Linked DNA regions of Macaca fascicularis. The protein of the gene in region 5 purifies or fractionates together with the protein of the main gene of each other region. This does not show direct contact. Links are inferred from orthologs where the notes say so. Each region holds a gene or a part of one and is shown on either strand. Other genes may lie near its edges. The genes, in order: RBX1, CUL4A, MVP, ETS2, COP1, TRIB3 and ETV5.

What was found.
Region 1: the proteins of COP1 (region 5) and RBX1 purify together in Homo sapiens (affinity purification with western blotting; 3 studies listed by BioGRID, with this or other methods). This does not show direct contact. The link is inferred for Macaca fascicularis from reciprocal best matches to the Homo sapiens genes COP1 and RBX1.
Region 2: the proteins of COP1 (region 5) and CUL4A purify together in Homo sapiens (affinity purification with western blotting; 9 studies listed by BioGRID and IntAct, with this or other methods). This does not show direct contact. The link is inferred for Macaca fascicularis from reciprocal best matches to the Homo sapiens genes COP1 and CUL4A.
Region 3: the proteins of COP1 (region 5) and MVP purify together in Homo sapiens (affinity purification with mass spectrometry; 3 studies listed by BioGRID and IntAct, with this or other methods). This does not show direct contact. The link is inferred for Macaca fascicularis from reciprocal best matches to the Homo sapiens genes COP1 and MVP.
Region 4: the proteins of COP1 (region 5) and ETS2 purify together in Homo sapiens (affinity purification with western blotting; 3 studies listed by BioGRID and IntAct, with this or other methods). This does not show direct contact. The link is inferred for Macaca fascicularis from reciprocal best matches to the Homo sapiens genes COP1 and ETS2.
Region 6: the proteins of COP1 (region 5) and TRIB3 purify together in Homo sapiens (affinity purification with mass spectrometry; 5 studies listed by BioGRID and IntAct, counting the BioPlex papers as one, with this or other methods). This does not show direct contact. The link is inferred for Macaca fascicularis from reciprocal best matches to the Homo sapiens genes COP1 and TRIB3.
Region 7: the proteins of COP1 (region 5) and ETV5 purify together in Homo sapiens (affinity purification with mass spectrometry; 6 studies listed by BioGRID and IntAct, counting the BioPlex papers as one, with this or other methods). This does not show direct contact. The link is inferred for Macaca fascicularis from reciprocal best matches to the Homo sapiens genes COP1 and ETV5.

What each region holds. Positions count from the first base shown.
Region 1 is NC_088384.1:10,679,339-10,683,461, forward strand, and holds the start of RBX1 (E3 ubiquitin-protein ligase RBX1), read right to left. Parts: upstream 2,801-4,123; 5' UTR 2,776-2,800; coding exon 2,698-2,775; intron 579-2,697; coding exon 500-578; intron 1-499. UniProt on the Homo sapiens protein: E3 ubiquitin ligase component of multiple cullin-RING-based E3 ubiquitin-protein ligase (CRLs) complexes which mediate the ubiquitination and subsequent proteasomal degradation of target proteins, including proteins involved in cell cycle progression, signal transduction, transcription and transcription-coupled nucleotide excision repair.
Region 2 is NC_088391.1:103,648,873-103,652,372, reverse strand, and holds part of CUL4A (cullin-4A), read right to left. Parts: intron 2,896-3,500; coding exon 2,733-2,895; intron 2,204-2,732; coding exon 2,114-2,203; intron 1,046-2,113; exon of another isoform or gene 1,044-1,045; coding exon 961-1,043; intron 1-960. UniProt on the Homo sapiens protein: Core component of multiple cullin-RING-based E3 ubiquitin-protein ligase complexes which mediate the ubiquitination of target proteins. As a scaffold protein may contribute to catalysis through positioning of the substrate and the ubiquitin-conjugating enzyme.
Region 3 is NC_088394.1:28,264,186-28,267,685, forward strand, and holds part of MVP (major vault protein), read right to left. Parts: coding exon 3,431-3,500; intron 151-3,430; coding exon 1-150. UniProt on the Homo sapiens protein: Required for normal vault structure. Vaults are multi-subunit structures that may act as scaffolds for proteins involved in signal transduction. Vaults may also play a role in nucleo-cytoplasmic transport.
Region 4 is NC_088377.1:8,175,763-8,179,262, reverse strand, and holds part of ETS2 (protein C-ets-2), read left to right. Parts: intron 1-883; coding exon 884-967; intron 968-2,294; coding exon 2,295-2,516; intron 2,517-3,376; coding exon 3,377-3,500. UniProt on the Homo sapiens protein: Transcription factor activating transcription. Binds specifically the DNA GGAA/T core motif (Ets-binding site or EBS) in gene promoters and stimulates transcription.
Region 5 is NC_088375.1:33,568,958-33,572,457, reverse strand, and holds part of COP1 (E3 ubiquitin-protein ligase COP1), read left to right. Parts: intron 1-1,674; coding exon 1,675-1,792; intron 1,793-2,743; coding exon 2,744-2,868; intron 2,869-3,500. UniProt on the Homo sapiens protein: E3 ubiquitin-protein ligase that mediates ubiquitination and subsequent proteasomal degradation of target proteins.
Region 6 is NC_088384.1:87,031,323-87,035,265, reverse strand, and holds the start of TRIB3 (tribbles homolog 3), read left to right. Parts: upstream 1-1,143; 5' UTR 1,144-1,217; intron 1,218-1,257; 5' UTR 1,258-1,290; intron 1,291-3,943. UniProt on the Homo sapiens protein: Inactive protein kinase which acts as a regulator of the integrated stress response (ISR), a process for adaptation to various stress. Inhibits the transcriptional activity of DDIT3/CHOP and is involved in DDIT3/CHOP-dependent cell death during ER stress.
Region 7 is NC_088376.1:98,016,795-98,020,294, reverse strand, and holds part of ETV5 (ETS translocation variant 5), read left to right. Parts: intron 1-1,212; coding exon 1,213-1,472; intron 1,473-2,474; coding exon 2,475-2,534; intron 2,535-3,500. UniProt on the Homo sapiens protein: Binds to DNA sequences containing the consensus nucleotide core sequence 5'-GGAA.-3'.

The DNA.
Region 1 (4,123 bases), on a different chromosome or scaffold from region 5:
GCATGCACCACCACGCCCGGCTAATTTCTGCATTTTTAATAGAGTATTTTTGCATTTTTAATAGAGTCGGGGTTTCACCATGTTGCCCGCCTTGGCCTCCCAAAGTGCTGGGATTACAAGCATGAGCCACCACGCCTCGCCTCAGATAGAATATTTTAGCTCAAAGTTTATTTTCCTCCTTTCAGTATTTCTACCTTTGAGTCTAGGTACAAGATGGGAGATATGCAGGAAGAATCAACAGTGCCTGTTGTCCACAATTAATTCTAAATGTGTCCCTGCCATCTTTAGATTGAGTAGATTTATTCTGAAAGCTGGGTATGCCTCCAGGACATCATAAAAAAACTACTCTATTTCAAACACACCAAAAGACTAGATACAGAAGACCGAGTGCTCAGAGTAGGCTTGATATCTGCTTGTGAAGAAGAAAATCGGTCACATCAAGATAGCCACAAGCTCTGCAACCTTCTCAACTTCCTCCCATCCTCCTCCAATTACTTACAAAGATCCATAATGTGGTTCCTGCAGATGGCACAGTTATCAACCACAATATCCCAGGCCCAGAGGGCTACTGCATTCCACTGCAAAGACAAAAAGAGGGAACAATGCATTCTCCTTATAACACACACACAGTTTTTAGGACTTCAGGCTGCAGTTGTAGTTATGATCTCTGGCCACAGGGAACCACCAAACAAAAGTTTTTGGATATTATGTTAATCTTATTATACCAAAGACAACAGTAGACAACACATACATTCTCCTATTCTCCAAAAGACTGAGTATATGAACACATAAATTAATGTCATCTTTTAATTTGTTTCCTGTAGTTTAAAACAATTTAGTCTGGCCGGACGCAGTGGCTCACGCCCATAATCCTAGCACTTTGGAAGGCTGAGGCGGGTGGATCACCTGAAGTCAGGAGTTCGAGACCAGCCTGGCCAATATGGCGAAACCCCGTCTTTACTACAAATACAAAAATTAGCCAGGCTTGGTGGCGGGTGTCTATAATGCCAGCTATTTGGGAAGCTAAGGCAGGAGAATCGCTTGAATCTGGGGGACAGAGGTTGCAGTGAGCCGAGATCGTGCCACTGCACTCCAGCCTGGGCGATGGAGTGAGACTCCATCTAAAAAAAAAAAAAAAAAAAAAGCACAAACTTGAATTTCTGTGCAGGTTTTGGTGGCAGTTGCAGAAGCGCTCAAAATCTGAATAAGTATCTGCTCTTCCAGGCAGCTTTGGAAGCATGAGCAATGAAGTGAAAGCTAGGGAACAGAATGAACTAAGATGATGACTGGATCATAAAACGGGTAATCGTGGGATAAGCTGGATAATTAACTGCCCATGTCAGTACACAGAACAAGGTCATCACTTAAATCTTAGATTACTTCATAACAAATTCTACAATTCACTAGAATTTTGTTCGATTCTTACCATAAAATAAACTGATGTTCTGAACTTTTATATGTTTAGACTCTTCTATTAAGATAATAATTCCAGTAAGAGTTTAACTAAAAGTGGCATTTCATTCATTCAACTCTGGTTTCCTCAATTACAAGTACTCCCAAACCTTCATCGCTTTCAAACCCCAGTCTCAGTGCCTAGTAACTTCTTCACCACTTTTCACATCACAGCTTCAACTTGGAGGAAAAGCCCCTACTTCTATTATTCTTCAATATGGCTGGCTGTAACTGAGCAGCAGTGGCCACAATGAGACACCAAAAAGCACTAGGAGGGGGGGATATTGTCAGTGTTTAGCCAGATGTTCCAGGAATATCTTCCCTATTTCAGAATCTCCATTTCGAATAGTTTTCATGTTAGGTGGGAATCGACACTTTTCTCCCAAACTGTGGCAAACCACTAAAATGCATTTCATGCAAAAGACACGTTCCATTTTTGCTTTCCCCTCTTACCAAGTCATTCGCAACTACTACTCAACCCTCCCGAAATGCCACAGGATTTGGGCTCGGATTTTCTTAACAAGTTCCACCGTGCTTTTTATTATTATTTCGGAAGGGGGAGATTCTGAACGTGACAGAGAATCCAAGAGTGGGGTGGTTGTGGGAAAAGCCAACAGACGTCTCAGAACACCCAAGCATTACACTCCAGACTCTAACTCGGCGGTGTGAGGCCCAGAGATGGGGTTAATGGAGGCCTCGGTTCAGCGAGGAACAAGTCTGATCCCTTCAAGTGAGAGGACCCCAAGCAAGCTTCAAAAAGGGGCGGAGCAAGATCACTAGCGGGGCTCCTCAGAGGCCTCCAATGCGGTAGGACCTCAGGTTCCAGGCTTTCGCCGCACTGCCCCATCCTCCACCGCCGCAGTCGCTCTGACTCCCCATTCCACCCACCCCACCCCACCCCACCCCACCCCACCCCACCCCACCCTACCTTCCCCCACCTCTCAACCACTCCAGTGACAGCTCAGGCGCTTGGCTCCCGCCGCCAAGTCGCAACCCCGCGTATCTCAACAAGCAGCTCTGTGATTGGCCCCTCAGCCTCACATCGAAACCAACACTTCCCCTGACAGTGGGCCGCCGTCACGCCGATCAACTCTAAGGCCCGCCCCCCGACTTCCTTTCGTGGTACCCGGTCCCAGGAACGCCCTAAAATGAAACCCTTTACTCCGCGCCTCGACCATCCTCGGGCCTGCCAGCCAGATCCGCGCCTCTCTAGCTTCCCTGAGGAAGGCGCTGGCGAGACCCAACCTTTTTCACTTCAAAGCGCTTCTTGCCCGCGCCGCTGTTGGTGCCGCTCGGGGTATCCACATCCATCGCTGCCGCCATTTTGGAAACACACGGTCTGTCGTCCGACCACCGCGCCTGCGCAGCAGCGCACACCTCGTTCCCCCAGCCTCCCCGGCACCTCCTCCCGCACCCCACCCCTTACTGGCGCGCGTGGGGGAGGTGGGGGCGGAGCACGTGACCACGCCTCTTAAAGGGGCTATCGCAGGTCGCCCCACCCGCGAAGTGTCGGCCGGGGAGGGGGCGGTGGCCGGAGTGGGTGGGGCGGGGCCGGGCGGGGCCGAGGCTACGTGAGCTAGCCTGGTAGAAACGTTCGAAAGGGCTCGAGGTCGCCGCCTCCTCTGGGAAGCCCCCGGCCGCACTCCATCAGCTGGGGCGGCGGCTGCTTCCTCCGCCTGAGTCGGACCTGCGCCGCAGTCCTGTCCTGCCTACCGGGCTCGCCCGGTCGCCGCGCGACTCCCATTGCTAGCCGGGGTGGGCGCCCGCCGCCTGCCCCGAAACCTGAGAGCCCTCGCTGGTCTTTCGCAGACTCTGACCCACCTCCGAGCCAGGCCCAAGGCGCAGTCCGCGTGGGAGGGCTGGGGCCCAGGCACCGTCTGGTCTCCGATTTCTGTTCGGGAACTGCTCAGGGATCGATGGGGAGAGAGGAGAGCCCCGAAGGTCCTCCCTAAGGCCAGACTGAGCAGGCCCCCAGTGCTGCCCTCATCCCCCCGCCAAGCCTGGAGGGTGGCCTCTGCGCCCGCTTAGTCGCAGTCCTAGGACCGCCTTTGGTCGTGGTGCGCGGTTTCACCGTGGCGTGTGTCAGTCCCCACTCCTCATTCCTCAGTTGTCATCTTGTGTAGGGTGATTTCTCCCCAGTCTGTGTCCTCTTTCCGCTACTTGTGCTATAGTGAAACCGACCCATCTGCAGTCGCTGTATTTCTTTAATTTTTGTGAAGCATTCTGACTTTTTGGGGTGTTTTTCTGAGACGGAGTTTCGCTCTTGCTGCCCAGGCTGGAGTGCACTGGCGCGATTTCGGCTCACTGCAACCTCCACCTCCCGGGTCCAAGCGATTCTCCTGCCTCAGCCTCCCTAGTAGCTGGGATTACAGGTGTCCGCCACCACGCCCGGCTCTTTTGTATTTTTAGTAGAAACGGGTTTTTACCATGTTGGCCAGGCCGGTCTCGAACTCCTGACCTCAGGTGATCCGCCTGCCTCGGCCTCCCAAAGTGCTGGAATTACAGGCTAGAGCCGATTTTTTTTTGTTTTAAATAGAGACAAGGTCTCACTCTGTTTCCCAGGCTGGTCTCGAACTCCTCGGCTCAAGCGATCCTCCCACTTCGACCTCCCAAAGTGCTAGGATCACAGGAGTGCGCCACCGCGCCCGACCCAAGCACCTGTACTTTGTGT
Region 2 (3,500 bases), on a different chromosome or scaffold from region 5:
AGTTCTGCACATTGTATCATTTTCATCTCCCTTCCTGTTTTCTCTGCTGAGTCCTACCAAGTCCTGTTCTGCACATCTGTACATTTTATCATTCCCTACTGGGGCCCAGTTCTGCACACTGTATCATTTTCTTTTTCTTTTTTTTGAGATGGAGTCTCCCTCTGCTACCCAGGCTGGAGTGCAGTGGCGCGATCTTGGCTCACTGCAAGCTCCGCCTCCCGGATTCACGCCATTCTCCTGCCTCAGCCTCCCGTGTAGCTGGGACTACAGGCCCCCGCCACCATGCCCGGCTAATTTTTTGTATTTTTACTAGAGATGGGGTTTCACTGGGTTAGCCAGGATGATCTCGATCTCCTGACCTCGTGATCCACCCACCTCAGCCTCCCAAAGTGCTGGGATTACAGGTGTGAGCCACCACACCCGGCTGCACACTGTATCATTTTCACTTCTCTCCCTTGCTGTCCCCTCTGCCCCTGTTCTTGCCTCCCATCACACGGACATTCTGTGCCTGACACGCACACTCACATAATCTCAACCTTTTTGTTTCCCTAGCTACTCATCAACCTCAGGTTTGCAGGAAAAAAACATTAGAAGAAAAGAGAAAATTGTGTGACAGCACCATAAATAAAATTAAAGCGATATAAAATGAGTGCACAATCAAAATAGCCTAATATTCAGTGATACTCCGTTAACATAAATAGCCCATCTCAAAACTCAAAGATGCCAAGTATCTCAGCAAGATTTACTCCCTTTAGACAATAACTTATGACAAGGCACTAGATAAAAACTGTAATTTGTAAATGCCAAATAAGGACAAATGACAAAGTAAAATATGCTAGGTGCAAAAATACTCTTAGTGCTGAATGAAATGACAGAGACACCCTTTACTTCAATAACCAGCCAGGAGAACCCTCCAGCCGTGGTGAGGACATGAACGCTCGGTGAGCGATCGGTACTTACTGTGTGCCGTGGTCCAAGTAAGTGATCACTCTGTCTCCTTCTTCCTCTAAACGTTTACTTACATGGTTAAGATATTCTGGAACCTTCCAAACAAAACAAACGTATCAGTAACAAAAAGACTGTCAACATTATCCAAGAGATTGAAATTTTATTTTCCTTATATGCAATTTTTAAGAAAAGCAGAATATGTATTCAAGCCAAATATTAACACAGATTAACAGGGAGGGAGAGGTAGGATGCAAGTGTGTTGGGGGGACATGGAGAAAGGATCGAGATTAACATCCATCCTAGAACAGGGCCCAGGCTGCACTTCTCTTTCGTCCCTGCTCACCACTAAGTTTTGGGGTCTGTGCACACCCTCTCCCATCCCCAGGGCCCACAGGGAGCTGAGCAGCACTTGGTAGGAGGGTGAGGTGCTAAATGGCAACCCTGCCCCGCACAGATGGGTCAGCAAAAGCAAGTCAACAAGCTGGCTGTTCATCTGGGGACACCAAACAACATGGTGGCAGGAGACCTCAAAGTACACCTATGTTTCCCAAGACAGTGCAGGAAAGGCCTGAGGCTCTGCCGGGGTAGCTGCAGCCGGGCTCAGTATCTGACATGAAACTTCCTCTCCAAAGCCAGAATGAAGGAACCAATGGCCAGGGTCAATTCTGGGCAGCAGCACGTGCCATTTGGGTGACAGTCTATGGGGCAGGTTCCTTTATGATTTTGCTCTGGTATCTGGAAAAGTGGTTAAGTTTTTTTGGGTTCCTATTACTACTATATGTTTTTTCACATGGCTTTTTTTGGGAAAATTTTTTGCAGTGCTTCACACAAATAAAAAATTTTATCATTTGTATTTATTTTTCATTTTTAAGGTGTATGTTTTTATCATTTTGCTTAAATTTGAGTTATTTTACTTATTTCAGAAACGATCTGACAGATTTTTACTTGTGGGGGGAGGGCAATAGTTTCTAAGTTAACATAAACTAAATTCTTAGTATACTAAGAATGAAGTTCATTACTGGGGATTCTGGCAAGACTGCAGCTTTCAGAAGATTTTCAATGAAACATCTGTGTGTGTGTGAAAAGGCAAACACGAGGAAAGTCCTCCCAGATGCTCATCTGCAGAAACGAAGCCAGGGGATTCGGAAGCATCCGATCATCTCACCTCTCTTTCCTGCATTAACCTTTGGCCTTCGGCAGCATATAAGCAGTTAGTCTCTTCCAAAAATTTCAGTTCAAATGAATCTTTATACACCTAAGAAATGAGCAGAGTTATTGACCAATTTCAGTAAAGGAAACTACCTTTTCAAGGGCTAACAAATCCCAGTTTCTGACGGGGCAGGCTGCCATGACCTGAACTTGGAGCTGCCTGTGGCCACCCAGCCGGCCAGCTGCACTGTCCTTCCCAAAACGGCCAGGCAGACCCTCTTCTGTTCTTTTCCTACGGTGCCTTGGGGTCACATTGCACTAAAGAACTTCACCCTTTGTCTTTTGTGTGTGTTGCTAACATTCTCCCCGAGTATGTCATCTGGTTTTGTCTGTTTGTGGTATATTTTCCATGAAAAAGGCGCATTTTACATAGTGATATTGATCCATCTTCCCTTTTGTGGCACCTGGTGTGGTGTTGGCTTGAGAGCCATTCCCCTCCTAGGGATTTTAAAGACTCTTCTATCTTCAACAAACACTTTTATGATTTCATTGTTTAACATCTTTGGTACAACCATTTATTCTGGTGCAAGTAGCTGGGCAGGTACCCGGGTATCTTCTGCACAGGCAGCACTCACCTGCAGGTCGGACAGCATGCCCAGCAGGCTCCGCAGCAGGCTCCGGTCCACGGCCTCGCCGCTCCTCTCGTGCTCGATCAGCAGCAGGATTCCATCAATAGTTTTACTTTGAACCATTTTATCACTAATAATATGGGTTCTAAACAGTTCTAATCCCATATCCCTGTACAGACAGTAAGAAACAATACATTTTAGTTTCGCTTTTTAGAAGTTATGGGTGTTATCTCCAGCTATGCTACTCAATATCATCCAAAAAATGTGAAGTAGCTAATTCTCTACATCTAGGTGCCAACAATTTCTTTTTAAAAACTTCTGTTTTTCGGCCAGTCTAGTGTGCCTTGTCTGCTCCATGTCCCTGGAGATATTGCTAGGCCAAGCATGCCACTGACAACAAAATTGGTATCACATAATCTGCTGGCAGAAGCCCGGGGTTCTTGCCACCTTCCTGGTGAGTGACTGGAGATGCTCAGTCGGGTACCACGACCCTGCCTGCCCCACCTGCCCTGCCTGCCACCATCTGCAACAGCCCTCAGGGTACACTCTCTTCCCAATATCCTCTGCGGAGCACATCCCAGCAGCTTCCCTTCTCCAAGCCCTGGGAGCTCTCCTACCAAATGTTTGCTGCTTTCCCAAGAAGAGAAGGTGACACACGGCTTTCAGAGTTCATCGCAGTCCTCAGCTCACGGCCTGAGGAATGTTACGAAGATGTTTCAGCTGCCAGTGACTGTCCACAAAACCCATGTTGGGGGTTCCGTGCTTTGCTTCAAC
Region 3 (3,500 bases), on a different chromosome or scaffold from region 5:
AGCCTGGTGTGAGACCTTCTCTTCATCCTCCCCCTCCTCCAGGGGCTGCAGGGCCCTCAGCAGCAGCCCTTGCTGCTCCGACAGCACGTATACATCCTGGATGCCTTGTTCCAGCTGCTCTCCCGGCTGGAGGAAGAAAGACTTCTCTCCCTAGTGGGGAGACGTGCGGTTAGGGGCAGGGCCTTTAGGGTTGCGGGTGCCTCCGATGGCACCTCCCCAGCCCCGCGCTGTCTCAGGCCTGTGTGGAGGACAGGAGCCCCAGAAGCCCGCCACCACCCCCACATCATAATACAGTGAGGCACCGTCTGGACTGTGAGGCTCTACACAAACGTCTGCCGAATCTCATCTGCTCAAACGTGTCCTTGAAAGATTCCATAAACTGTCAGAACCTGGATCCACGCACGCTAAACCATTAAAAAAATCAACCTGTTTTTTCTTCTTTCTCCCAGGCTTTGTTTTCTAGAGATGGTGTAACCTAGGGCTCAACAAACTCTGGTTTTCAGGCCAAATCTGGATTCTGCCTTTTTTTTTTTTTTTTTTTTTTTTTGAGACAGTCTTGCTCTATTGGCCAGGCTGGAGTGCAGTGGCATGATCTCAGCTCTCTGCAGCCTCAACCTTCCAGGCTCGAGCAATCCTTCCAGCACAGCCTCCCAAAGAGCTGGGACTACAGATGCGCGTCACCACACCCAGCTAATTTTTGTGTGCTTCGTAGATGATGGGGTTTTGCCATGTTGCCTAGGCTGGTCTCAAAGTCCTGGACTCAAGCGATCTGCCCACCTCAACTTCCCGAAGTGCTGGGATTATAAACGTGGGCCATCATGCCCAGCACTGCCTGTTTTTTTTTTTTTTTTTTAATTTTATTGAGATATAATCCACATATGAAATTTTCCCACCTAGAGTATACAATTCACAATTCAGTTGTTTTAGTATACTCAGAGTTGTCCAACCATCACTACTATGTTAAGTCTAGAATATTTTCATCATCACCCTGAAAAGAAATCCTGTACCTAGAAGTTACTTCTACTCCCCACCCACCCCACCCATCACTAGTCTATTTTATGTGTTTACCTATTCTGGACATTTCATATAAATGGAATCATGCAATATGTCAATATGTGGTCTTTCATGTCTGGCTTTTTTTTTTTTTTTTTTTTTTGAGATGGAGTCTCGCTCAGCAGCCCAGGCTGGAGTGCAGTGGTGGGATCTTAGCTCACCGCAACAACTGTCTCCCGGGTTCAAGGGATCCTCCCGTCTCAGCCTCCCGAGCAGTAGCTGGGACTACAGGCACCCGCCATCATGCCCAGCTAATTTTTGTGTTTTAGCAGAGATGGTGTTTCACCATGTTGGCCAGGCTGGTCTTGAACTCCTGACCTCAGGTGATATGCCTGCCTCAGCCTCCTAAAGTGTTAGGATTACAGGCGTGAGCCACCGCATCCGGCCGGCTTCTTTCACTTAGCATAACGTTTTCAATTTTATCCATGTTGTATCACCTATAAGTATGTCATTTCTTTCTTTTCTTTTCTTTTTTCCTAGAGACAGGATCTCATTCTATTGCCTCAGGCTGAAGTACAGTGGCACAATCCTAGCTCACTATAGCCTCCACTTCCTGGGATCAAGCGATTTTCCCACTTTAGCCTCCCAAGTACCTGGGACTACAGGTGTGCCACCGTGCCTCGCCAATTTTTTAAAGTTTTTGTAAAAATGGGGTCTCACTATGTTACCCAGGCTGGTCTCGAACTCCTGGCTTCAAGCAATCCTCCCACTTTGGCCTCCCAAAGCACTGGGATTATAGTCACGAGCTGCTGCGCCTAGCCTGCCATTTCTTTCTTATGGCTGAATGATATTCCATTGTATGAATATGCTACAATTTTTTATCCATTCATTAAATATGTACATTTGGGTTATTTCTACTTTTTTTTTTTTTTTTTTTTGAGACAGTCTTTCTCTGTCACCCAGGCTGGAGGGCAGTGGTGCTATCTCAGCTCACTGCAACCTCCGCCTCCCGGGTTCAAGCGATTTTCCTGCCTCAGCCTCCAGAGAAGCTGGGTTTACAGGTGCCTGACACCATGCCCAGCTAATTGTTTTTTGTATTTTTAGTACAGAAGGGGTTTCGCCATGTTGGCCAGGATGGTTTCCAACTCCTGATCTCAAGTGATCCACCCGCATTGGGCTCACAAAGTGCTGGGATTACAGGTGTAAGCCACCGTGCCTGGCCTATTTCTACTTTTTCTGCCTCCTGTTTTTGCAAATAAAATATTCCAGAAACATGGCAGTACTCACTTGTTTACGTACTGCCCATGCTGCTTTCCTGACATAACAGCAGAGTTGAAGAACTTCCACAGAAACGATGACTCACAGAGCCCGGAATATCTACCATCCAGCCCCCTTTACAGAATGAGTTTGGCAACTCCTGGTATTCCCACATATAGTTCAGAGAGGGGATGAGGTAGGGGGTGGGAGAGGGTAAACCAAGAGGTTTGTTTTACGAAAGATGACAAAGCAAAGTGCACACCAGAATATAAAAGATGTGAAGTATAGTCACTGCGTGATGGTTCAGTCCACTACAGACTGCACATGGTGGTCCCGTAAGATTATAATGGAGCTCTTTTTTTTTTTGAGATAATCTCACTCTGTCGCCCAGGTTGGAGTGCAGTGGCACGATCTCGGCTCACTGCAGGCTTGATCTCCGGGGTTCAAGTGATTCTTGTGCCTCAGCCTCCCAAGTAACTGGAATTACAGGTACCCACAACCACACCTGGCTAATTTTTGTATTTTTAGTAGAAACAGGGTTTCCCCACGTTGACCAGGCTGGTCTTGAACTCTTGACCCCAAGTGATCCACGTGCCTTGGCCTCCCAAAGTGCTGGGATTACAGGCGTGAGCCACTTGCTGGCCGATAATGAAGCTTTCATACTGTGTTTTTCTTACCTTTTCTATGGCTAGCTACGTAAGTACTTACCATTGTGTTCAGCTGCCTGCAGTATTCAGGACAGTCACATGCTGCACAGGTTGGCAGCCTAGGAGCAGGCTACACCATCTAGCTTAGGTGATAGTAGGCTGTGCCATCTAGGTTTGCATAAGTGCACTCTTTTGCACAAAGACAAAATCATCTAAGGACCATTTCTCAGACTGTATCCCCACATTAAGTGGCACATGACTGTATCAGAGAGAGTTTCAGAGTCTCAGGCAGAGGGTAGCCAGGAGACCTTCCCAGAAGGGGAATTAACTTCAGGTCTGAGGGGTAAGTTAGAGGCTGCCAGGAACCAAATGGGCCAGTGTCTCAGGCGTGTAAGAACTAAGCGTGTAAAGGCACAGAAGGTATTCCCAGAACGTGCCTCTGGAGGAGAAGGGAGAGAGGGCAGAGGGCCTCCTGCCACTAGAGGGCATACATCTCCCAGGACAGTCCTCTGTGGGGGGTGTAGGGACCTCACCTTGACCACACGCTTCTGCCCCAGCTGATTCTTGCCATCCGGTCCGACAGGGTCGAGAATCACACAGTAG
Region 4 (3,500 bases), on a different chromosome or scaffold from region 5:
AGGGAGGGAGGAAGGGAGGGAGGAAGGAAGGAAAAGAAAGCACTTTTATAGAATTCAGGGAACTAGTCCTCACCTGACTGATTTTAAACACACTGAATTTTAGCATCAACTATAGACTCAGAATCTCAAAACCACCTAGGATTCAACAGCTAACTTTTTTTAGTTACGGCTTCTGAGGGCCAGGGAAACTCATTTTTAAAGACTCTCATTTTTTCTGAACTTGGACAGGGCTTTTCTACCAAGTTTCTGGTGATCTGTTCATTGGCAAATTGGGCCTGTTTTGCCATTCCTCGGGCCTGTGAGTTTGTGTGTGTTTGAGTTTCCAGGTGCACGTATACTTTGTAATATATTCGTATTAAGTGTGTATACACAGTGCACAAACCTTTTCCCTTTCAAAGTTCTTGGGCAGTTGTCTTAGCCATCCCAGACTCCCACAGCCCTGGAGACCTCCTACACCCTGGGGAAGCGTGCAGGTTTGGAAGCAATGGGACTGTAAGCTTCACGGGGGCAGACACCATCCATTTTATTAATTTCCTGTATGCAGCCTCTGGTACAGATGGCATTTCATAAATACTTAAATGTTTCTTGAATGCATGAATGAATTCAATACACCATCTGGACCTTTTGCAATAGAAAATTTAATGTTGCCAATGACATCATTCATTTTGGAAAATGTATTTTAGTAATTAGAAAAATGGGTTGCTTTCTCTCGTGTTTTGAAAAAGACAGGCAGGACGTGGAGCACCATGAGATTAAATGTGAAGCACTCCATGCATGTCATCATTCTAAAATTATCGTCTCACAGGAATTCAGAAAGTCAATTTGTTCTTGTGTAGTTTTCACCTACATCTGCCATCTTATGTCTCCTGTGTCTGCTTTTCAGAAAACCAAGAAAAGACAGAAGATCAATATGAAGAAAATTCACACCTCACCTCCGTTCCTCATTGGATTAACAGCAATACAATAGGTCAGTCCGACTGATTCTGCCCTTAAGAACTTGGTCTTCAGTCTCCCCAGTAGACTTGGACTCTCTGTTGTAGGCTCCTAAGGGGCCACCTAGACCTGTGTGTGTCTCTCATGGTGGCCACACGTGGGTGGTTGAGCCATAAGCTGTTGAAATGTGACTGGTCCACATTGAGATGTGTAGGAAGAGTATAGTCATGCACGCCAGATTTGGAAGTCTTAGTATGAAACAGAGAATATAAAATGTCTCCCTGATAATTTTTAACGTATTGATTACATATTGAAATGATAATTGCTACATGAGGCCAAGTAAAATAAGAAAATTAACTTCACCTGTTTCTTTTTGCTTTTTTAATATGGCCACTAGAACATTCACAATTGCTTAAGTGGCTCACACGATCTTCCATAGGTCAGCACTGTTAGTACTAGTCCAGGCAATTCTTAGAGCAAGGAGCAGAACGAAGTGAGCTGGTTACCGCAGTCACCACCTGTTGGTCTAGTGTAGCAAACAAGAGGTGGCGGGCACAGAGTGTGTGGGAAGCAATTTGTAAACTGGCTTTGAACTTGGGAGCTTAAAGAGCTGTCATGGAATCTAGGTCCTTGCTTCCGATTGCTGGTTCTGGGGAGGACACATGGTCTGGCCAGGCCAGCGTGGGAGGGTTCCTTGGAACAGCAGGCTTGGGTGGTGTTGGTCCGGCCCAGTGTTTTCTCTCTGGCCCCAGCTCCACCATTCGGACCCAGTGAAGCCCACCTCTCTGCCCCACTGGGGGCTTCCTGCTCCGGGGGTCTTTCTGAACGTGGTACAGTGAGACACCCTGTGCCTGCCTGAGTCTGAATCAGAGTCAGAGAGCTTCCTTCCCTCTCCAGAAAATAAATGATTCTGCAAAGAACAGAGACAGGAGCAGTGTGATGAAGGAGCAGACAGCAGAGTGGGCTGTGCCTCAGCACACAGGGTTCGTGGCCTGGCTCTGCTCCTTATGCATCACACAGTGCATGACACATCACCTCGTCTCTCTGAGCCTTACTCTCCTTGGAAGCTGCAAGAGCCAGTGAGCCCTGTCCTCCTGAGGGTCCCATGAAAGCGCTAGAAATAGGGACATTGAGTCCTGCCTACAAAGGCTGCAGTCATTTTGGCAAAGGGCTGCTGGTTGAGAAGATGAAAGGTTTGAGAAGAAGGCTTGGTGACAGACCCCCACCAAAGCCCGGGTGTCCACTGAGGTTCTGCAGAGGGCTGGAGTGTGCGGAGTGCTCACCTGTCATTGGCTCTGAGGGGTTAGTTACTGTGGTAATACTGACTTTAAGAGCTCTGTCGTCCGATTGTTCTGTCCCAGGTTTTGGCACGGAGCAGACGCCCTACGGAATGCAGACACAGAATTACCCCAAAGGCGGCCTCCTGGACAGCATGTGTCCAGCCTCCACACCCAGCGTACTCAGCTCTGAGCAGGAGTTTCAGATGTTCCCCAAGTCTCGGCTCAGCTCCGTCAGCGTCACCTACTGCTCTGTCAGTCAGGACTTCCCAGGCAGCAACTTGAATTTGCTCACCAACAATTCTGGTAAGATTGGAAGCATCTTTCAACAAGGCTGTTGGTTTGATTCTGAGAACCCCAGAGCCATCATGAACCTCTTAATAAATACTTCCTGAGTTCAGCCATTACAGAAGGAGGTCAAAGCCCATGTTCTAAGTGGATTTCCAACAAGCATACCCCTAATATGTTTCAGGTGCTGGCCCAGGTACTGCAGGCATTGAGTAAACAAAACACAATCCCTGCTCTCACAGCCAGATTTCTCCACGCTTCAGGATATTTATGGTGGTGATGCGGGAATGTGGCATTTCTTTTTATGGAGATGTAACATAAATACAGTGCACAAATCTCAGGTCATATGGCTGGTTGAATTTGTGTACGTATGTATACCTATGTAACAACCATCCAGATGGAGATAGAGAAGTTTCCAGTAACCTGGACGGTTCCTTCGTACCCCTTCCCATCAATATCATCCCCCCACAGAAGGGAACCATTCTGACTTTTATCATCATGGATTAGGTTTTGATTTTCTTGAACTTTACATAGATGGAATCATGCGGTATGTTTTCTTTTGTGTTTGTCTTTTACTCATCATGAGGCCTGGGATTCATGCATGTTGTTGGATGTAGCAGCTATGTGTTCTTTTTCATCGCTGTATAGTATTCCATTATAAGAATTTTATTCATTCTACTGTTGATGGAAGATAGGATTTGTGTAGCATAGTTACCCTAAGGAATAGGCACCTGAGTAGAGAGCATTTTGAGAAGTCTGAGTGGTTCTACACCAGCAGGTGCATGATTGCACTGGTAGTGGTTGGTGATGCTGTGGTCGTGCCCAAGACCAACCATGCCCTAGAGGAATCAAAGTATGTGCTTGGTTGTCTTTGCCAGGGACGCCCAAAGACCATGACTCCCCTGAGAACGGTGCAGACAGCTTCGAGAGCTCAGATTCCCTCCTCCAGTCCTGGAACAGCCAGTCGTCCTTGCTGGATGTGCAACGGGTTCCTTCCTTCGA
Region 5 (3,500 bases):
TGCTCACACAATGACAAAATTGCTGAACGATACGTTTCTCAGAGTGTATCTCCATTGTTAAGTATGCATTATTGTACTTGCTGTTCAGCATCTCAAATCCAAAATCCGAAATGCTCCAATGAAGCATTTGGAACTTTGATTGTCATGTTGCCGCTCCAAAAGCAAGGATTTGGGATTTTTGGATTTCAGATGTGCAACCTTTTAATATATTGAATGTAAGTATGTTGAACATTGTAACATTCAGGGATTGGCAGAATGGGTTTACAAAAAAATTAGAATCCAACTTTATGCTATCTACAAGAGATAGACTTTAGATTCACAGACACACGTAGGTTAAAGTAACAGGATGAAAAAAGATACACCATGTAAGTAGTAATCAACAAAAATGGTAGAATGGCAGTATTTAGGTCAAACAGAAAATACTTAGAGTAGAAACCGGTACTAGAAACAAAGACATTTTATAATGGTAAAAGGATGAATAGTGAAAACATACATCAATTATCAACACACCTAAAAACAAACTTTTTGTAGATACATGAAAAGAAAATCTACAGTATTTAAGGGAAAAGTAGATAATTTGACTGAAGTTGTTGAAAAATACTCCACTTTCGATATTTCATAGAAAAACTGGACAGAAAATCAGCAAAGTTATAGAAGTCTTGAATAACATTGTCAACCTGACATAACAAACATCCAAAGATCACTTCATCCAACAGTAGAAGAACACACATTCTTCTCAAGCAAGCTTTAAACAGTCTCCAGGTGAGACCATATTTAAGACTGAAAAAAAGTCAATAAATTTAAAGTGAAGACATACAAAACAGTTTTCTGTCAATAAAATGATTGAAGACGTACAAAACAGTTTTCTGACCAAAATGGAATTAAATTAAAAATCAACAATAGTTGCTTTGAGACATCTGCAAGTATTTGGAAATTACATGACACATTACTAAATATCTCATTAGTCAAAGAAGAAATAACAAAGGAAATGTAAAAGGATTTTAAACTGAATGAAAATGGAAACACATCGTATCACAATTTGTGGTGTCAGCCAAAGCAATGTTTGTAGAGAATTGTGTATCCTTAAGTGTCTGTCTTTAAGAAGAGTAACAAAGCTAACTGAAGACAAGCAGAAGGAAGGAAATAATAAAGATTATCATAGAAATTAGTGATAGAGACAGACAGGAATAGAGATTGCCTATGATGGTGGATGCCAAATGAGTGATCTTATTGGAGTGCAGAAATATTATAAAACTGATTTATGGTAATGGTTGAACTGCTGGTTAAATGTAGTAAAGATCATTGAATTGCATGCAATACTTTGAGCGTGTGTATTGTATATAAAATATGTCTAATTTTTTAAAGCAAATGTGGGAAATAAGATTATATAGCATTATGTTTATCCAGATGTCCCATAATGTTTATATTAACATTTTTTAATGACGCCACTAAAACATAGATTGATTTTTAAGTTTCCAATTATTTTGACCTCTTAATACTCTCTTTCTAGAGCCAGTCTTATTTTTGAAAAGAATTCCTTTTTCTTTGTTTTCTGGCTGTTAGAGATTAGACATTCTATGTGAAACTTTTAATGAAAAAACAAAAACCAGTTTAAATTAACTTTGCTTTCCATTTCTGCGTTTACTACATTTATCTAATTTTGTTTTGGTTTAGATCACTGTGTCCACTACTATGATCTTCGTAACACTAAACAGCCAATCATGGTATTCAAAGGACACCGTAAAGCAGTCTCTTACGCCAAGTTTGTGAGTGGTGAGGAAATTGTCTCTGCGTGAGTATTACTCCCCTCAGAGGTCAAGCTTAATACAGAGCTCTGTACTTAAACACCTACCAGTTTGTAATGTCACTGAAGATGTATGTAAACTGTAATGTTGGAGTATATGTGCTTTTTCTTAAATAGTATTTTTTTTATCTTGTCCAATTAAAATAGTGTGGATTCTGGTCTGTATTGTGCTCTACTATATGTAAATTGTGGATACAATCCTGAAGATACTGGTTTTTTAATATATGCTCCCCCCTTAACTCATCCTCCTATGTTTAATTGCATTTGAACTTCAGATTGGATTTTAGCTATTGTTTCTTAAGAAGAGATAAACAACATAGTCGATGCAATATAATGAGAAGTATTTTATTTATTAAAGTCAACTAATGTGTTATTGTATATTTTATCTAGTTGCAGTATAGTGGTAGAATTATTTTTGGTTTTAAATATTACTTGGTTGGCTTTTACACTGACATGTTCATTTCTCTGTGATTTCATGGTGATTTTAAATATGTTGAAAAGAAAACTTTTTTTTTTTTTTTGGCACAGAGTCTCGCTCTGTCACCCAGGCTGGAGTGCAGTGGCGTGATCTCAGCTCACTGCAGCCTCTGCCTCCCAGGTTCAGGTGATTCTCCTGCCTCAGCCTCCCAAGTAGCTGGGACTACAGGCACATGCTACCACTCCTGGCTAATTTTTGTATTTTGAGTAGAAACAGTTTCGCCATGTTGGCCAGGCTGGTCTTGAACTCCTGACCTCAAGTGATCTACCTGCCTCGGCCTACCAAAGTGCTGGGAATACAAGCGTGAGCCACCACGCCTGGCTGACAGATGAACATTCTAACTCAGTCTGGCTCCAGAGACTGCATTCTTAACCAGCAAACTGCATTGCCTCTAATTAGTAGTGATGAGTTTCGTGTCAAGAAATTTTAAATACATTCTTACTCTTTATACTTTTCCTCAGCTCTACAGACAGTCAGCTAAAACTGTGGAATGTAGGAAAACCGTACTGCCTACGTTCTTTCAAGGGTCATATCAATGAAAAAAACTTTGTAGGCCTGGCTTCCAATGGAGATTATATAGCTTGTGGTAAGTAAAACCATCGTTTCCAGGAACTTTTTAACAGGTATTTGTTATTGAAATTGAACTCAATGGAAATAGACTAAATATTAAGTCAGGAAATGGTGTGTGCACTCAGAAGATAGTATAATAGACATGATGCCCCAGCATTATTGATTTTCCTTGTGTTGTACTAGAAGAGCATTAGTCCTTCCCTTTTTTATTGTGTACAAACCCTGAACACCTCAAATACCTGAACACCTGATTTTTAACTGTTTTGTAGTTGTTCTCCATTATAACGTAATTCTTTAGATACTGCGTGGGAGACAGAAAAGGTTAAGTTCTGTTAGTAATATTTCCAATTTTGGAGACATTATATGTCTTCTTAAGCTTGATATTCATTTTCCCTTACCTGCTGTTCTCTCCATGAAGTAATCTATTTGCATAGTATTGATCTGTTATTCTAGGACTTTTATTGTTGATAATTTATACAAATTTAAATAAGAAATAGAAAAATCAAATTTGATATTATTCAAATGCTCTGATATATCTAATGCCTGAATATATGAGCTTTGATCATACTTTTAAATGACTTGGCCTTTATTCAGCAAAGTTGACTTTCTCCACATGTGTATGAGACTGCCAAAGCAAATATCTGGAAC
Region 6 (3,943 bases), on a different chromosome or scaffold from region 5:
CTACGTCGCCCAGGCTGTTCTTAAACTCCTGGCCTCAAGCAATCCTCCCGTCTTGGCCTCTCAAAGTGCTAGGATTACAGACATGAGCCAGCTCGCCCAGCTGAGGAGTTATATTTTGACACTAGTGAATTCAGATCAAAAGGGATTTCTAAGAAAGGTGCTGGACCCCTGGGACGCAGAGGGATGTTTCACCCCAAAGGAAGTAGCACCAAGCCCTCCCAGGCCTAGGGTGCAAGCATATTAAAGGCCTCTTTCCCTCTCTGTCTCCATTGTCTACACTCCATTGAGCATCCGCAATGTGCCACACACTGTTCTAAGCGTCTTACACATATTACATTATTTAATCCTCACAATAACTTTATGAAGTGAGCACAATTATGAGCCCATTTTATTGAAAAGGAAATTGAGGCAGGGTTTTAGGTAGCTTTTCTGGGGTAGCACTGTGGGTTGGAGGGGAAGGTGGAGTGCACTCTTAGGCCAGCTGGCTCTAGGGGCTCTTCGCCACTAGGCCGCACTGCCTCTAGCAAAGGAACGCGGGGAAGTTCACCAGACCTTAGGCCTCCCCAGGGTGCCACAGTGGTTCTTTTGAGCCCAGAGTCAGCTCTTAGGTCCATAGGCCTTCCTGAAGCTTCTGGACCACTTGCCCACAGCTGGGCCTCAGGCTGGCTCTCAGTAGAAGGGGGAGAATGGAGATTGCCAGATGTCCACTTCTCCTAAAGGTTTTATAAGGCGGTGCTGGTAATGTGCTTTACAAAAGGGGAAGCACCCGGACAACAGTCACTGTTTGCTCTTTTGAGCACCATCCCGAGAAGGAGGAATGTTCTTCCCATTTCATAGGTGGGGAAAGTAAGGCTCAGAAAAGCAAATGTTTTTTTCCAAGGTGATAGGGAGAGTCCGTGGCTGGTGTCTGCACTGAGACCAGACAACCCTAGTGGGCCAACAAGGGCGGGGTCCCCAGGTGCAGCGGAGGAGAGAGGCCCTGGCGGAGCGCGCCCTGGCGGCGACCCGGTGAGGCGGGGCGCGGGGATGGTGCAATCCTGGGCCTGAGGGCATCAGACGGCGGCTGATTAGCTCAGGTTTACATCACCCAGGCTGGGAGCCGGGAGCGCACGAGACTCGCAGCGGAAGTGGGGGCGGCTCCGCACACGTCCGCTGTTAGGACCCGGGCCGGGCTGGAGCTGGACCGGGATCCCGAGCTCGGCAGCAGCGAAGCGGGCCGGCCCACCTGCTGGTACCCTAGAGGCTCTGAGCACCGGCGGCGCCAGGACCCACGCGGGACGGCAGGACAAGGTACTCGGCGGGGTGCGGACTGTGGACTTGCCCGGAGCCTGGGGGATTGGAGCGGGCGGCCGGGGAAGGGGCGCCGGGAGGCTCTGCGCCTCTGCGTGTTGCTGCGTGTTACGCGCGCACACACACAACACCCCTTTTAACAGACTCTGCCGTCGGGGGACACCCTGGGCCTAGTGCTCCCCCCGGGCTTCAGGTGACGCGGCCCCGCAGGGCGTGGGGTCGCCCGAGTTTGGCTGGGGAAGCCAGGGACGGAGGTGTCCGGCTGTCATCCCTAGAGGAGGGTGTGCGAGGGTCTGTTTTGCGTGAGTGTGGGACAGGGGAGTCGTGTGGTGAGGTGAGGGGCTTGTGGGGGGCACTGGAGGACTCTTTATGGGGGTGTCGGAGGATCTGCGGGGGATCTGCGGGGGTCCTCGGGAACCCGTAGGAGAGAGTTCTGGGTGAGGGTGGGTCCCGGGGACCTGTGCCTCCGGGGATGGTGAGAACTGTCTGGAGGGCTGGGCACTTGGTGGCAGGGGTTGGAGGTGCAGAGGACACGGCCGGGAGAGGGCTGGGTGGGGTGCCCTGGGAGCGAACTGAGCGAGTGGTGCGGGAGCCGAACGAGTGGGAGCGAAGTCGCAGCGCGGGATCCCCGGCCGGGCAGCGCCGCTGGTTCTTCCCGCTGCGTGGCTCCGGGTTTGCAGGTGGAAGGTGCGCGTGTGTTTGCGGTGTGTGCTGTGCCTGCAGACCGGGGAGGGCGGGGGACGACAGCCACCTCTTTCCCTCTGCCTCACCCCCTCCTGTCCCAGGGCCGCCCTTCAATTTCCGCTGAAACTTCTGACTGGGACACCGCCGCCTTTCGCTTTCGCTCCCGCTGAAGGGGCCTGGCTGCGGGGGGCGGGGCGGGGGGTGGTGGGGCCGGCCTTGCTTGTGTAGACCATGGGTGTGATAGCTGGGAGGGCTGTGTGTGTGTGTGTGCGCGCTAACGCTTACCCGTGGAGGGCAAGGGTGTGTCACTTAATGTCTGTCTTCCCTGGATGTGTTGTCGCTGGCTGGCTTAGACAGTGTCTCAGGGGTGTGTGTACACCTGTGAGCGCGCGCACGCTTGATGTAACCCGCCCTCATTTCCCTGGGTCTCGAGTATGGCAGGAAACAGCAAGAGGTAGATATTAGGGGCTGCTTTCATTCCACAGCACAGATTCTATTCTGCAGTGTGGTCTGCAAAATGCCTTGCCCAAGATTTATAGACTCAGTTACCCCATCTGTCCCCATCTGGGTGGAGCTTATCCCAGGCCCCAACAGGCTCTGAGGGATGACTGGGGCCAAGGCAGCCTGGAGTACTGATGTGGCACAGGCCAGAGGGACTCCAGGCAGTCTCCTGCTGCACAGGGCACAAAGCATGTGCACGGCCAGGTAGCATCCTGCGGGACTCAGAACAGCCTTGAGACTGTTCTGTCATCCCAGCCTCGAACCTGGGGAGCTTTCTAAGACTCCCAAGGATGGTACTTAAGCATCTTGCTGTGAAGAACAACAGGATGAGTGCTAATAGTGACCATTTCCTGACACCTACCCTGCAACAGGTCTATAAGCTCTACGTGCTTCATTTGTTTTTTCATTTCATCATCACTAAAAACCTGTAAACTTTGCATCCTGTTCCCACTTTACAGGAACTGAGGCTCAGAAAGCTTGAGGAACTTGACCAGGGGTACCCCCCAGCTAGAAAGGGTCTGAGACAGGATTAGAACCCAGGAATATCTGACTAAGCCACTCCTTACTGCGTTCTTACCAAGCCAAAGTCATGACCTTTCACTCATGTGGGGAGACCTTCCCTTCCAAGGCAGCTCTTCCGTTTAGGAGCCGCGTACTTGGAGAGGTGGGCCTCTGTCTGGTAACTGACTCATGTTTCCCTGTTCATCCTGCCTTGAACTGTTGGGAAGGTCTTTCACCAGGCTGAGGTCCCTCTCGCACCAGTGCTCAGACCTGGGCATGCACATCCTTGGAATGGAGTTTAAGTGGGTGGGCAGATGGGTTCTAGAGAGAACCTTCCTGCCCTGACATGCCCTACTGCCCTCTCCTTCAGCCACCCCACACACAGTCACACAGCTGCGTGGATGGTGGCTTTCTTTTCATTTAACAGTTCACTCTGGAGATCCTTTCGATTAGGCTATAAACAGCGTCCTCAACCTTTTAAATGGCTGCAAATTTTTCCGTTGTGTGGATGAAGTATAATTTATGTAACCAGCCCTGTAATTATAGACAGCAAATTATTTCTGTCACAAGGGCTGCAGGATAACTTTGTATTTGCATGCTTACACAAGCACACTTCTACAGGATACATTCTAGCAATGGGATTAATTGCTGAATCAAAACTCACACACTTCATTTTTTTTGTTTGTTTGTCTTTTTGAGACATTCTCACTTTGTCACCCAGGCTAGAGTGCCTAACCATGGCTCACTGAAGTCTTTACCTTCTGGGGTCAAGTGATTCCCCTACTTCAACTTCCTGCATGGCTGGGACCACAGGTGTGTGCCATTATGACCAGATAATTTTTTTTTTCTTAGGGACAGAGTCTCGCTATGTTGCCTAGGCTGGTCTTGAACTCCTGGGCTCAAGTGATCTTCCTGCCTCAGCCTCCCAAAGTGCTGGGATTACAGGCATGAAGCACTGCACCCAGCC
Region 7 (3,500 bases), on a different chromosome or scaffold from region 5:
TTTTGTATTTTTAGTAGAGACGGTTTTCACCGTGTTGGCCAGGACGGTCTCAATCTCTTGACCTCCTGATCCGCCCACCTTGGCCTCCCAAATTGCTGGGATTACAGGCGTGAGCCACCACCATGCCTGGCCAATTTTTTTTGTAGTTTAGTAGACATGGGGTTTTGTCATGTTGGCCGGGTTGGTCTTGAACTCCTGACCTCAAGCAATCTGCCCACCTCGGCCTCCCAAAGTGCTGGGATTACTGGCATGAGCCATAATTCCTGGCCTGGTTTCACTTTTTATATTGGAACCTTTAATCCATGTGAAATTTATTTTGGTATCTGTATAAAATGGGGTCTTTTTCCCCAACTAACTTGAAATGCTAACCTTAACAAGTAGTAAATTTTGAAATATACTTGACGGTTTTTGGCTTGCCACTAAATTCCTTTGATCTGCCTATCTCTCAATTCCTTGTATTACTGTTTTAATTAGTGTAGTTTTATGACATATGTCAATAGCTAGTGGGTCCTTTTGTCCTTTCAAAATAAAGTTTAGAATCATTTGGTCAAGTTAGTTGCGAAGGCATTTGCTTTTACAGATTAATTTTCAGTGAATCAATAGCTTCAAAGTCCTAAATATCTTCTCTTAGATCTTTTTTCTTTCTTTTCCTCAGAGAACAATTTTAAGATTTTATTCTTATATGGCCTATACGTTTCCTGATTATTCCTAGGAATGTTATGTTTTTTATTGCTACTGTGAATGGGATTCTCTCCTTTTTAACTACATTTTCTAACTGATTAGTTTGTATTCAGTCTTTAAAAATTCCTTCTATCTGTAGGTGAGAGAATGGATGAACTAGTGAACAAATATTTATGTATATGTTAGTGCTATTTGCAAATAATTGGTCTCATATATTCATATACATAATCTGGCCCATCTTTACAGATAGACTGTGCATACAGTATACATACATGAAAGAAAAAGAGGCTACCACATCATTGCTTTGATTTTTTTTTTTTTTTTTTTTTTTTTTTTTGCCACTTCCTGACTCAAGAGCTTCGAAATACACAATGTAATTTTGGGAAGAAGGTAAAAATGTCCAGAAATAAGCATTATTAAATATCTTGCAAATAATTTCATTAATTGGAACTTCTTCTAGTCCCCAGTGCTCAATCATAGTAGGTATTCATCAAGTCTTTGTTCACCACGAAAACCTCTTTCTTCTTACAGATTTCAGAGACAACTGTCTGAACCCTGCCACCCCTTCCCTCCTCAGCCAGGAGTTCCTGGAGATAATCGCCCCAGTTACCATCGGCAAATGTCAGAGCCTATTGTCCCTGCAGCTCCCCCGCCCCCTCAGGGATTCAAACAAGAATACCATGACCCACTCTATGAACATGGGGTCCCAGCCATGCCAGGGCCCCCAGCACACGGGTTCCAGTCACCAATGGGAATCAAGCAGGAGCCTCGGGATTACTGCGTCGATTCAGGTCAGCATCAAATTGTGCTATTCGTTGCTTCATTCTTGCTTTCTTCTGTCTCGTTATTCAGTGTCTTATACATGCAGGGCCTTGGGGACAGGAATTTTTATAAGAATTTTTTGTAATTTTTATAAGAATTGCCCTCAAATAACTTAGGAGCTAGTAGAGCTGACGTGTTTATGCACAACGGAATACAAAACAAAACGGAAAAGGTATGTAAGTGGTAGGAAGTGCAGTAGGCATTCAGAAGTGGTATGAAGTACATCTCTGAGTCCAAGCTTGAAGAGTGTTGGGGTTCAGTTTTGGATGGAATTTGCTCTTGACCTTCTCTGAGATAATACGTAGATTGATCTATTCAGGCACCAATTGGTTATGGGAAACACTGATAACATGATGCTTGAAGAAGAGGTCACTTGAGTGTGGTTTGGTTTCAGTGTGACAGTCCCAGCATGGCAAAAATGGACCAAACTGCAATCCTGTACCCCCCTTCCAATGCTGGTCCTGGCGTCCTAACTTCAGGTCTGCTAATCCCTTTGGCCTAAAAATACTCCCACCTCTTGGAGCAGAATTGGATGTGACCACGAGGAGTAAAGGGGAGCAAATTGGGAAAGATCTGAAGCAGTCATATTCCCCTTCCCACCCTAACACCCAGGAGTCAGCATGGGGCAAGAGGCCAGGCTTGGCCTTTTGAAAGCTAATATTTTTTCCACTATCATTGGCTCTTTCACCAGATTTGGTGTTAACTAATTGCTAAAATGAGTGAACAACGAGAGTGAAACATCTTTTTCTTTCCTCCCGTGACTCTTGAGTAGGAGAGCCTGCCTTTCAGATGGTGGGTTGTGGTGTTTGCCATCTTGCTTAGTGGTGTGGCACCTCTTTCCCAGGACAAAGCCAAAAAGACATGACCCCAGAGCGTTTAGGGGCTTTACCACAGAGCTGCAGTTGACCGATGTGCTGTGTCTGCTGCAGAAACTATTGACAGGATTGTGTCCACCTTTGCTTTCCTTTCAGAAGTGCCTAACTGTCAGTCATCCTACATGAGAGGGGGTTATTTCTCCAGCAGCCATGAAGGTAAGGAGCCTGCTTTCTTTCCTCTCCTCTCCTTTCTTCCTTTCTTTTTCTCTTTCTTTCTCCTACCTTCCTTCCTTCCTCTTTCTTTCTTTCCTTGAATAATACTCAAGCTTAAAATTGCTCAGTTTCCAGGCTAAGATTTGAGATCATAGATTAAACCTTGCTTAGCTCATGAATATAAGAGCTAATTGGTTGCAATCTTCAATTATTTTGCAGGCAGGGTTTAAGGCATGCCCCTGAGCCCTGTGAGGGCTGCCATTTTCATTAGCAATGACCCCAACTTTTTAAGAGGATAGGACAATTTGGAGAAAAAACAAACCCACCGTATTTCCACAATTCCAGAAATGAAGGTTATGTTTATATAACAATATCAGCTTAAACTGGAATTTAGGAGTTATGTCAGTGAGAGTGGTTTTTATACATTTTATAGTTATGTCAGTGAGGGTCCAAGGATGTCTTAGAGTTTTAAAAATGTGTCTCTAGGTTTTTTACTTAGTTTGAGTGCTCGGGGTGGGTAACTCTTCATTGTAATTATTATTATATGATAAATGGTTGCCACTTTTAACATGGGGGGGAAATTGAAGGTATTCTTCACCAACCTTGACACATATCCTAACATTTACTTTTATGTGAAGATGATCATTTTATATCAACGGTATATGTTATCTGCTCAAGTTCTTGTGCCCAATCCCTTTGGGACCAACTCAATTCAGTAAGTCTCTGAGATAATCTCACCTAATGAGGAGCAGGAGCAGTGGGCAAGGTTGAGCCTGTGACTTTGCCTTTATTAGTGCTGACCTACCAATTAGGTGAAAGTAATTGGGAACAAATAAGATGCATAAGTGTTCCATAGCATATGGCTTCAAGGAAGTAGTCAGAATGGAGCTAGAATGTCAGTTTCTTGGAGGAGCTTGCTTTTTTGAGACGTAGTCTCGCTCTGTCACCCAGACTGGAGTGCAGTGGCGT